Linked DNA regions of Danio rerio. The protein of the gene in region 2 purifies or fractionates together with the protein of the main gene of each other region. This does not show direct contact. Links are inferred from orthologs where the notes say so. Each region holds a gene or a part of one and is shown on either strand. Other genes may lie near its edges. The genes, in order: kif5c, klc2 and kif5aa.

Region 1 (3,660 bases), on a different chromosome or scaffold from region 2:
CAGTCAACTGCGCCCCCTAGTGATCAGTATCCAGACACATGGGCGATTCTTCTCTTTGATCTCCTGATGATTTTAAAAAGAAAGAAAAAATGTAACGGCTCTATTTTAAATGGTTTGTAAGTTTCATTTTTTCACAGCTTTTTTTCTCATTTTAAGAATAGTGATATATAGATTTTTTTTGCAGATTATCTGTTTTAGTTTTCCTGTATACACTTTTTATTTTTGCCCCTATATTAACTGATTAAAGATTGTTACATTTACAAAAAGGTTTTTTAATGTTCTATTCCATTAATATAAGTTCTTAAGCACAATAATCTAAACATTGTTTTTTTGTGTTTTATGTTTTTTTCTTCCTGTGTCCAGCATCAAGCAAAGATCAAATCCCTCACAGACTACATGCAGAACATGGAACAGAAGAAGAGACAGCTGGAGGAAAGCCATGATTCACTGACAGAGGAACTCGCTAAACTCCATGCAGAAGGTCTTTGTGGTTTAAAATCTTGCTAAATCTGTCACAAAAAAAATGTGGTAATGTGAAAATGAAAAACAAGCACACTTAAAAGTAAGTTTGAACACAGCTATGGATAAACTTAGGAGACCAATTGAAAATAATCTACATTTATAGCAACAAAAATGCCTTTCATAAAAGTTTACAGACATTTTATATTCATTTTTACACAACAAAATGCCAATGTTTTAGCTTTAAAAGAGTTAAGAAATCAATATTTGGAGGAATAAACCTCATTTTCAATCACAACAAATAAAAACATTTTTTTTAAAAAGATTGCTTTAATCGACAATACCATCATTTGAAATTAGAAAGATATTTTACTCAACCCCATACCAAATAAATCCATTAAATCCAGAGGAACTGAACATTTTTAATTGGTTATATAATTTTTCCATGTCTGTAGATTTAAAAATATTCAGAAATCTTTGCCATCATTTTGGTTGTTACAGAAAGGATGCATGAGGTTTCAGTCCTGGATAAGGAGAAGGAACACATGAGCAGAATGCAGGATGCTGAAGAAATGAAGGTGAAAAACACAAACACTGCCTCTGAAACCTCAAGCTACTATGTCCATAAGAAATAGACATCTAAACATACACATCTTGGCTAAAACAAGGCTAAATTTGGGCTCTCTGTAAAAATATAACAGATGCCTTAGAGTAGCCCAAAGCGATTTTTACCGACAGCTCAATATTCACCTTTTTTTTTAACCACTAAGTTAACATTTATACATCTATAAGACTTATTTTGAACACAAAAAATGCTTTCAGGGCAAGTACATGCCATTATCGTATCTGAATTTTTTACACAACATTTTGACAACACAAACACTCTTCTGGGCCTCATTTGCAGCTACATTCTTTAAGGGTCAAAGTAGATGTTGTTTGCTGGAAGAGTTGGCATTTTACTAATGTGTTACAAACCTATGCAGGGGATTGACAAATCATTTCAGGCAATTCAGAATCAATAACTCAATTTATTGTGCAATTTGATCTTTAAACCATCATATGTACACTTTAAATGTAATAACATACATGATAAATGTTCAAATAAATAATAGTATATATAAATCTGTGTGTCTGCATATAGAAAGCCCTGGAGCAGCAGATGGAAAGCCACAGAGAGACTCATCAGAAGCAGCTTTCACGTCTGCGGGATGAGATCGAGGAGAAACAGAGGATACTAGATGAGCTAAAGGAGTAAGTGCTTTTTAGTTTAAAACACAATATTAATTTTGAACATTCACTTTTGGGAAAATCTGCTCATGCCTGGCCTTAATCAAAATAAACCAAGACCCATTAAAACGGTTTGATGCATTCAGTATTTTTTGCCATGTGATGACAGTGTGAACCAGGCTCTTGAACTTGAACAGAAGAAGCTCATGTCTGACTACGAGAAGCTCCAACAGGAGGACCAGAAGAAGGACGAAAGGCTACAGAAGCTTCTGTGAGTTCACTGCTCATTAAAACATTATCTAAATCATCTGCTAATGAAGATTAAAGGTATAGTTAATTCAAAAAATGGATATTTATTCACCCTTCACCTCAAACCTTGAGAATTTCTTTCTTTTGTTGAACACAAAAGAAGATGTTTTGAAAAATGTTGTAAACCAGTAGCCAATGACTTCCATAGTAATTGTTTATTCTACTATGTAAATAGTTACTGGTTTCCAACATTTTGTGTTCAGCAGGAAAAAGAGGAAGGTTTGGAAGCATCTGAGGGTGGGCGAGCTGTCCCTTTACAGATAGATTTTAAATTTAAGCAGCTACAGTATGTGCAACTCCTAAAAACCTTTCTAATCGCATAATTATTGTTGTTTTAATCAGCTTTTTGAATGAGAAGAAGGAGCAAGCTAAAGAAGATCTGAAGGGTCTGGAGGAGACTGTGGTGAGCAAGATTACTTTACACAGCACATGATTTTTACTTCACCTAGAGTTTATCTCATAGCTATGCATAGATTTTGTTCTTATTGAAAGTCAGTTTTAGATAACTGATCATTCAGTTCTCTCTTCTACAAGGCCAAAGAGCTCCAGACTCTCCATGACCTGCGTAAACTGTTCATCCAAGATATCAATAATCGCATTGGCCGAGTGAGTATCCAAAACAGCGGCTGTTCTATTTTTTATATGTACTTTTTTGATTATTATTTTTTTTTTTGGCACCGGCACCATTTTGGCCATTTTGCTTCCTTAAAGAGAAGTCATTGTTTACCCACCCTTTACTTGTTACAAACCTGTTTGATTTTCTTTATTCTGTTGAACACAAAAGATGATGATGTCTTGACGAATGCTGGAAACCTGTAACTACTGATTTCCATAGTAGTTTTTCCTACTGTGGATGTGAGTGGTTACAGGTTTTCATCCTTTCTATCTCTTCAATGCTTAAATATTGTTTTAATGCTATCTTTAAAATTAGACAATATCCTGAATATGCATATTATTACATTTTATCTACTACATTTCTATCATTTAAATTTTAATATAATTAAAGGCTGTTTTATTAAATTATATTTATTTATTATATATTTATAATTATTTTTTTTCATTTCAATTTTGTCTATATCATGATGTTTCTTTTATATAAAATGAATAACTTGTTAAATATTCCTGATTTACAAAATATTTTATTGCTAAAATATGAAATTATTATTTGACTATTCTTTTATTGTTTTACTAATTATAATAATTATGTTGTATTTTTACTCTAGTGTCTTGCCTTAAAATAGTTCAACTACATACAGTTTAACTTATGGTGGAAAAGTTTGAAGTTTAATCTGTTTTTAAACTTTGAAGTTTAAAGTTTTTTTTTCTGTTTTGTAGAGTGTTGAATTGGACACTGATGAATCAGGTGGAAGTCTGGCACAAAAACAGAAAATAATTTTCCTGGAAAACAACCTGGAACAACTCACAAAAGTCCACAAGCAGGTTTCTGAGTTTTTTTTTTATACTTTTCACTAACAAATTATTGATACATTGATATAATATAATATAATATAATATAATATAATATAATATAATATAATATAACATAACATAACATAACATAACATAACATAACATAATATAATATAATATAATATAACATAACATAATATAATAATAATAATAATATAATATAATATAATATAATATAATATAATATAATATAAT
Region 2 (4,207 bases):
TCGGTCTGCATTAACACTTCGAAACGCTAGTTGGCAGTGAGGTGTAAATGTTCCTCTGTGTCAAGTTTCTTCGCTACTTTTTTGCACTTCCTGAACACTTCCTGAATGTACAAGTGGCTCAAACTCGCTCATTTTGAGGCAGGAACCGGCGGACGTGCAACAACTTTAACTATGAGGTAAACACAAAACAAAACTTTCCATCCGGAGCTCCTTCACGTTACTCCACACTTGTAAACAATCGCTCGCGCGGCTTCGCGCGGCTCTCGGTCCCGCCCAGACTCGTCAGCGCTACCAAGCCGACCAATCACAGAGCTCACGCTACGCGTCGTTGCAACGTGTAGATACATTTTTTTAGAGGTGCACGTCAGCGACGGCGATGGCCACGGCGAAGGGCTATGCGTCAGCGCCGTAGCATACGCCGGTGTTTGACGCAGAAGTATAAATCAGCCTTTAAGCCGAAAAGAAAATGAATGAATGAATGTTACAGTTTAAAAGTTAACTGTAGTTAGGCTTATGCACATTGAATTATTCGTTAACAAAGCGGTCTACTTTTTCTTGTACACTTTACTATAGTATGGTTCAAAAACACTATAGTGTTTACCATACTATTATTTATATGAAGGTGCTTTTCAATTAAAACAATTTTGGATTCCAAATACTGGTCAGACCAGTAACCACTGCAACCACTGTTTCAGAGCACACTAGCATATAGATATATTTAAAACTACTATATACTAATACTAACATCTAAAAAAATTTCTTTAATTTCATGGCACCTTTAAAAAGATAACTAAATGTGTTGGTAATGTAAAAATATGTGTGTAATGTTATTTTTGCGGCTGTTTTTTTAAGATTAAGATTTGCTTAAGATTGTAATATAGTACTTTTATAACGTTCACAAGCCATAAAGACCCACTCTGCGTTTATCGGGCACGCGCGCGCGCCCACCAAGCGCCGTCCACGCCCGGTTCTGGAGGGCGGGTGTAGTAACGTCAGCGCGCAGGGGGGGCAGGCTGTGGATTCTGGGAGCACAAACACACACATCAGCCATTTTTCAGTTTGCTGTGCTCATCCTTTCACTTCAACGCGAACATCCTCACAACGCAGAGCTGAAAGGGACGAGAAAAATGGACGAAGCGAAAGCGGGTCAGCAAACGCACGAGCGGCGGTTTTGCTAATAACAACAAACAAACGAACGCACCAAACACTCGATGGGACTCACACCGTTTACCTGCTAAATCGCCTTTGGGACCGAATCTGGACATCTCTGAATCCATTAAACCACATTAGAAGTTTGAACCCCATCCATAAAGCAGCTTATAAAAGGTATGCTCGTTTTTGTCATTGATTAGCGGCGATGCTAACCTGCAGTCAGTTTGAATGGAGCAAAGTTTAGCCCCCGGTCTGCTAAAAACAATAGCTGTTTGTTGTAATTGAATTGTGCTTAATGTTTAGCGTAAACGAGTATCTGTTACACTACACTTTGTTTAGACTGTTTTAAAGAGTTTTTGTTATACATTCGGTCGTTTATAATCGCCGTCATCCAGACAGTGATGATGCAGTGAATGTTGAATTAAACATTCATTTAGTTAAATAACGTCGCATGAGGATGTTCTGCATTTTGAGTGAGCTAAATTCACTGTATGTGTATGTTTATATTTTGGGTGTTTGTTAATGAGAGCAGGGCCTGCGTTTGTTTGCTGTGCTGGATGAGGGATGTTGTGGTGATGTTGCGGGTCACCTTGATGGATTTTTCCAGATTCCTCCTGAGTTTATCGGGCTGCTTTTAATAACTTTAGGGTGTAAATTGACCACGTGAGGCGTATGTTTGTGTTTGTGAGGTGGTCTGCTGTATTTTTGTGCTGGTGGTCTCGTGGTTTGGGGTGATTGTCTCCGCTGGTGCTGCATTGCAGTCAATAGGCGTGTTGACTGACGAAGAGCGCCTCTGCTGGACGCAGGTGGAAGTGCAGGTCAAATAAACTCATGACGACGACGGTGATGATGAAGTTGGTTTTATATTCACACATTATAACTTTTCCTTTTTTATAATTTCAGAAAACAATGATTTGCCAATTCTAAATAGTTAAATCATATTAGCAGTCAATGACTAGCAAAGTACAGCATTGTTTAAAGTCAAACAAACAGTGCTAATGCTGTTTTAAAGTCATACTTGCATGTGGTTTCATACTGAATATTCAAAGTACCATGGTAAACAATACAGGGAGTGTGTCTGAAGTTGTCACTGAATGAATGTGTGAATATAAAACCAACTTTACCTCAATTGATGATGTTAGCAATGTCATCATGTTACTGCAGTCATTTGTACATTGATTATATTGTTTTATCTTTATTTTATTAGCAAAATTTCATATACACAAACAGAAGTTTTAGTATTAGTAGTTTTAGTATTTATTTAGATTATTTTACTGTGAAATTGTTGAAAGCAAAAAATCTGAGATCATTATACTATTTATACTTATTATATTTTTTATTAACTGGTAATTCTTAAAATCATTGAATGTAAAGATTCTGAATATTTATACTTTGTGGATTTAAAAATATATATTTTTACAATTTTTATATTAGGTTTTTATGTTCACAATTTATATTGAGTTGTTGTATGTATGTTTCTGGTGGTTTGTGCAACAAAAACAAAGTGGAAAATATTGTATACATAAGTATTATATAGTTATATACATAGCCTTAACCCTTGTTGTCTCTGTTGGGGGTGTTTTCATCCACTCCAGGGTGACTTTGAGGCTTAATATTGCCACAACTTTTCAGCAAATGCAATGGCTTTTGGTGATGAATCTTATTTTGACACACATCTACTGTAAAAATGACACATTTTACCTCTTTTCAACAAGGAAAACAAGCATCAAGAAAGCATAAGGTGTCATGGCTTGCAATCAAAAAAATTGTTATAATGGAAGACAATAAAACAAAAACAGCCACCAAATAACAAAAGGGTTGTCAATTTGAACAATGCCCAAGGGTTAATTAGTATTTAGTATAATACACATACATGCATTACTGTATATAATTTTTTTTTAGCTTTCTTGAAATTATTTTTCAGATATCTTCTAACGAGTGATGCTTAACATAGAAATAATGTTTTAACATAATATTTTTTTAATAATAACTTTATGATGGCGATCTAGGATATTTTGCTAGTTATTTTGCAAGATACTTCGGAAAAATTCAAATGTTTTAGGGCGTAAAAATATTGATTTTAGCGGTTGTTACATTTTTATTTTTTGCTTTTTTTCCCAATTCCTGCAAAATAAAACAAATAAGACTTTACCCAGGAGACAAACATAATAATAATAATAACAATAATAATAAAAAAGGTCTTGCTTTGATTAAACATTACTTTTACAAATATTTAACAAATAATTATTTATTTTATTTATACAGGGACAATGTACAACATGACAAGCTAATTTACATCTTAATCACTTAATTAAAGTTTTACAGGCTAATCATTTTGTTGTTAAGACCTCATCTGTATGTTTTTGTTTATCTATGTGCACGGATGAACCGATATCATTTTTTTTTTACAAGCCGATACGAGTATGAATATTTAAATTTGTGTACTTGCTGAAACAGAGTACCGATTCTGATACTTGGATTTTGTTTTAATGAAAGTGCAATTATTTAAAAGGAGGTTTTATTTTTTGCCTGTAGCAAGGATGAACACAAAAATCTTTAACAAAAGGCAATTCCAAGCCAAAAATATACACACATTGTAAGATAACTTATCGATTACCGATTAAGCATGGATGTTTATAGGATAAGTTATCCTTGTGCTGACGTGTGTCAGCGATTTCACACATTACATAATCAAGTGTGTGCAGTTTACGTTACCTTATAGAGTCACTCTCTTGACATTGCATATTTGGGATGCATAAAACACTGTTATGTGCAGTTCTTCGCTTTATTCGCAAGTCCTGTCGTTAATCCGTTGGCCAGGTAATTGGGTGGTTCGCGTGTGGATAAGATCAACAGTTGGTTATGCAAACTTTAACTGCTTTCTCTAAAATATTTAGTTGTTTTAAGTGGTTTCATCTTGACAGACTGCCCTCAGTGTGCCCACATTGTGCGTGTGTGAGAGAGACTTGGCGCATCTCTCCATAGAACTCCATAAAAAAAATCTTAATCTGTTTTGCAAGGGCCTATCTAAAGGGTTAATGATGCCAACTGGCGA
Region 3 (3,660 bases), on a different chromosome or scaffold from region 2:
TTAATAATGACGAGGTGCTTCAGGATATCACCAGCCTCTCTTGAAAAATATTAAATTAGAAAATCTGCAGTGAACAGCAGCTGCATCCTCATTATATTCCAGTATAAGATGTGCTGCTTTTTATTGCTCATGTTGTGTTTCTAGAATACTCTAAAGGTTACTCGTGAAATGTTTCTCTCTATTTAACTACATTAAAAATGAAAGACGACTTCCTATATTGATCGATTGCGTCTCAGAGTGCTTGTATTCTTGCACACATGTTGAACTCGTGATATATAATAACTGTTTGCATTCGCCTGCACTAAAATAAATGACTCATTGGATGAACAAATGAAGTTGAACGCTACTAAATTGAATTTGTTTATTTAAATTCAGCCCTTATTAATAGTTTGCAGCTACTTACCTTAAAAAAAGTAGTAAATCCAATTCATTTTGTTTTCCAGTGTAAACTGATTTGCTGGAGTCAAAAGCACAGAGCGTGACGGTGAATAAAGCAATAGAGGATTCTGCTTATTCATCAATAAATCTATATTTTTAGGATTTGTGACGCGACAGCAGTCAGAAACAGGAGAAGGAAGCTGATTTACCAGAGAGAGCTCCAGTTCCAGTCATCCTGCTCATGATTCACCATCTGCAGGAGCATCTGATGACTCAATATATGATCTTTAGCTGGAAACTCTACACAGGCCCATAGCCTGTAGAACAGGGGGGTTCGGGTGATTAGAAAGACCATAATTTGTCCCTTGCATGGGTTAATTTGTCCTATTTTTACTGCTATGCCTTCATAAATAGTGAAAGTAATCAGTGGAAGAAGGCTATAAGACCAAGCAGAATCCTCTGTTGGCTGTCATGATCTCAGCTGATTAGTTTTGTTCAATGCTAAGAATTATTTCTTAGCACCAAAAGCAGCCCATATTAAATTAAATTTCCAGATATACTTTTGTACAGGAGAGGCAAGAAAAATCATGATGCTTTTCATCATCATGATTATTATTATTATTATTATTATTATTATTATTATTATTATTATTATCATTATTATTAATATTATTATTATTATTATTATTATTATTATTATTATTATTATCATTATCATTATCATTATTATCATTATTATTATCATTATTATTATTATTATTATTATTATTATTATTATTATCATTATTATTATTATCATTATCATTATTATTATTATTATCATTATTATCATCATCATTATTATTATTATTATTATTATAACTATTATTATTATCATTATTATTATTATTAGCATTATTACTATTATTATTATTATTATTATTATTATTATTATTATTATTACTATTATCATTATTATTATTATCATCATTATTATTAATATTATTATCATTATTATTATTATTATTATTATTATTATTATTATTATTATTATCATTATTATTATCATTATTATTATTATTATTATCATTATTATCATCATCATTATTATTATTATTATTATTATTATTATTATTATAACTATTATAATTATTATTATTATTATTATTATTATTATTATTACTTTTATCATTATTATTATTATCATCATCATTATTAATATTATTATCAATATTATTATTATTATTATCATCATTATTATTATTATCATTATTATTATCATTATTATTATTATTATTATTATTATCATTATTATTAATAGTATTATTAGCAATAGTAATAAAAGCAATATTGACTGGAGTAATAGTTTGTTTGAAACTACATACAATAAAAAAGCAGTTACCTAAAATGTCAATAAATATTTAAATATTTAACAATTTAACAATTTTTCTACATTTAATAAATGCCGCCTTGATCAACAGGATAATTTTCCTTAAAAAAAACCATGAAAATGGTAAAATTGAGCTCAAACTTTTGACCGGTAGTGTACATATCAAACATACAGTATGGCAACTTCAGATATTGTTCCTCTGCAAAGCAGCTCCAGTAAGCCTGATCAGTTTAGCCTGGTCTTCATCTCTGTGCTGTGATCTGTGGTTTAATCAATACCTGAGAGCGTACAATGACCTTTCTCTCTCCTTCTCTGTGTTTATGTGATTTAGGGAAAGTCCTATGCGTTCGACCGAGTGTTTCCCACCAACACCACTCAGGAGCAGGTCTACAACACCTGTGCCAAGCAGATCGTCAAAGGTCAGATATACGGCACACCTCAAACCTGAGTTACACTGATATACAGCTCCAGCTGTACTGATAACCTGATCATCAGGCCAGAGGAATCAGTTCTACACTTCAATATGATCCAATTTCCCATGTCACGCTAAACGAACAGTTCTACAAACGTCCTAAAACACAGAAGCAGCCTAATGTTAAAGACCTTTTATACTCCTTATACAAGCTGTGAATGCGTCTCTGCTGTGTCTAGAGTGTGTGTGTGTGTGTGTGTGTGTTTGAGCTGAGAACAGCACACAGATAATGTTCTCCAGCTCTCTGAAACTGCCCCTTTCAGGCTTTGATCCTAACCGTGGCGTTTTGGTGACTGTCGCTTTAAATGCAAATGAGATTGTGCTTTTTTCAGAAGAGGGCGGAGCTACAGACGCCTATAATAATATCATAAACAAAACTATTCTATGCTAATGAGATGGAGGGATGGGCACTAGTGGGCGGGGCTTTCCCTCTCTAATGACACGTACAAAGGGAGAATGTCAATCACAGTGTTTGTGCAGACTGTAGGTGCCGTTTAAAACAGGACGAACTCTAATGTGTTTAGTTTTAATGTTGAAAATCGTGATCAAGGACGCTTTATGGGGTGGAAAGATGGAAAATTTATGATTTGCTTTGGCCAAAAGCAGCCACCCAACTGCTAACTTGACAAATGTTGATTAATAATGCTCAGTAAACTAGATTTCAGTCATGTTTTCTGTCTGCACATTGTTTGTTCTGTGAAACACAATGGGCTCTTTGTGATTATTAGGTTGTTGTGTTGTTTTAATCATATGTGTGTGTGTAGATGTGCTGGGCGGCTACAACGGCACCATCTTTGCCTATGGACAAACCTCCTCTGGAAAGACTCACACCATGGAGGTACAGTACCGTCATTGACACCTTCACATTCGCTCACACTTGATTTTAAGATCTCTTGGAAGAGTAAAAAGGGTCACCGTGTAAACGGTGGAGACACAACTGACTCTCAAACCAAGGAGAGATGAGACATTATTCCCAGAACACACTCATCACTCATTCAGAGAATAAGCACAACACTTTCAGATCATGCGCCTGGTGCAACAACACTTTTTCCCCCTCTAAAAAAAAGCAGCGCCTTTAGACCATTACAATAGAGCCCTGAGAGTTAAAGACACCACTCGACTGCTTGTCTTCTGCTGATTGCACAGGAAACCGAAGTGAAAGTGCTACAGTGTGCAAATGGAGTGCGCCTCCAAAGCAAGAGCAAAACTAAGAGCAATAAATAAAGATATATAAGAACACAACAGGCGACCAGTTAGCATGCATACATTCAGTAAACTGGCACAAGTTAATACAACCGCAACACAATACAACACACAATACATTTACTTAATATATAAATGGATCAAATGCAACCCTGAACCCCAGAATGGGTTAATTTACTGTGTTTTCAGTCTTACTCTGCTTACCATGATAATAAGCGTTAAAGATTTACTCATCCAT

The links.
Region 1: the proteins of klc2 (region 2) and kif5c purify together in Homo sapiens (affinity purification with western blotting; 3 studies listed by BioGRID and IntAct, with this or other methods). This does not show direct contact. The link is inferred for Danio rerio from reciprocal best matches to the Homo sapiens genes KLC2 and KIF5C.
Region 3: the proteins of klc2 (region 2) and kif5aa purify together in Homo sapiens (affinity purification with western blotting; 3 studies listed by BioGRID and IntAct, with this or other methods). This does not show direct contact. The link is inferred for Danio rerio from reciprocal best matches to the Homo sapiens genes KLC2 and KIF5A.

What each region holds. Positions count from the first base shown.
Region 1 is NC_133184.1:24,804,359-24,808,018, reverse strand, and holds part of kif5c (kinesin heavy chain), read left to right. Parts: intron 1-363; coding exon 364-481; intron 482-960; coding exon 961-1,037; intron 1,038-1,600; coding exon 1,601-1,710; intron 1,711-1,855; coding exon 1,856-1,957; intron 1,958-2,337; coding exon 2,338-2,398; intron 2,399-2,529; coding exon 2,530-2,601; intron 2,602-3,330; coding exon 3,331-3,435; intron 3,436-3,660. UniProt on the Homo sapiens protein: Microtubule-associated force-producing protein that may play a role in organelle transport. Has ATPase activity. Involved in synaptic transmission. Mediates dendritic trafficking of mRNAs.
Region 2 is NC_133182.1:6,694,959-6,699,165, forward strand, and holds the start of klc2 (kinesin light chain 2), read left to right. Parts: upstream 1-1,271; 5' UTR 1,272-1,326; intron 1,327-4,207. UniProt on the Homo sapiens protein: Kinesin is a microtubule-associated force-producing protein that plays a role in organelle transport. The light chain functions in coupling of cargo to the heavy chain or in the modulation of its ATPase activity.
Region 3 is NC_133184.1:246,338-249,997, reverse strand, and holds part of kif5aa (kinesin family member 5Aa), read left to right. Parts: intron 1-2,078; coding exon 2,079-2,166; intron 2,167-2,983; coding exon 2,984-3,057; intron 3,058-3,660. UniProt on the Homo sapiens protein: Microtubule-dependent motor required for slow axonal transport of neurofilament proteins (NFH, NFM and NFL). Can induce formation of neurite-like membrane protrusions in non-neuronal cells in a ZFYVE27-dependent manner.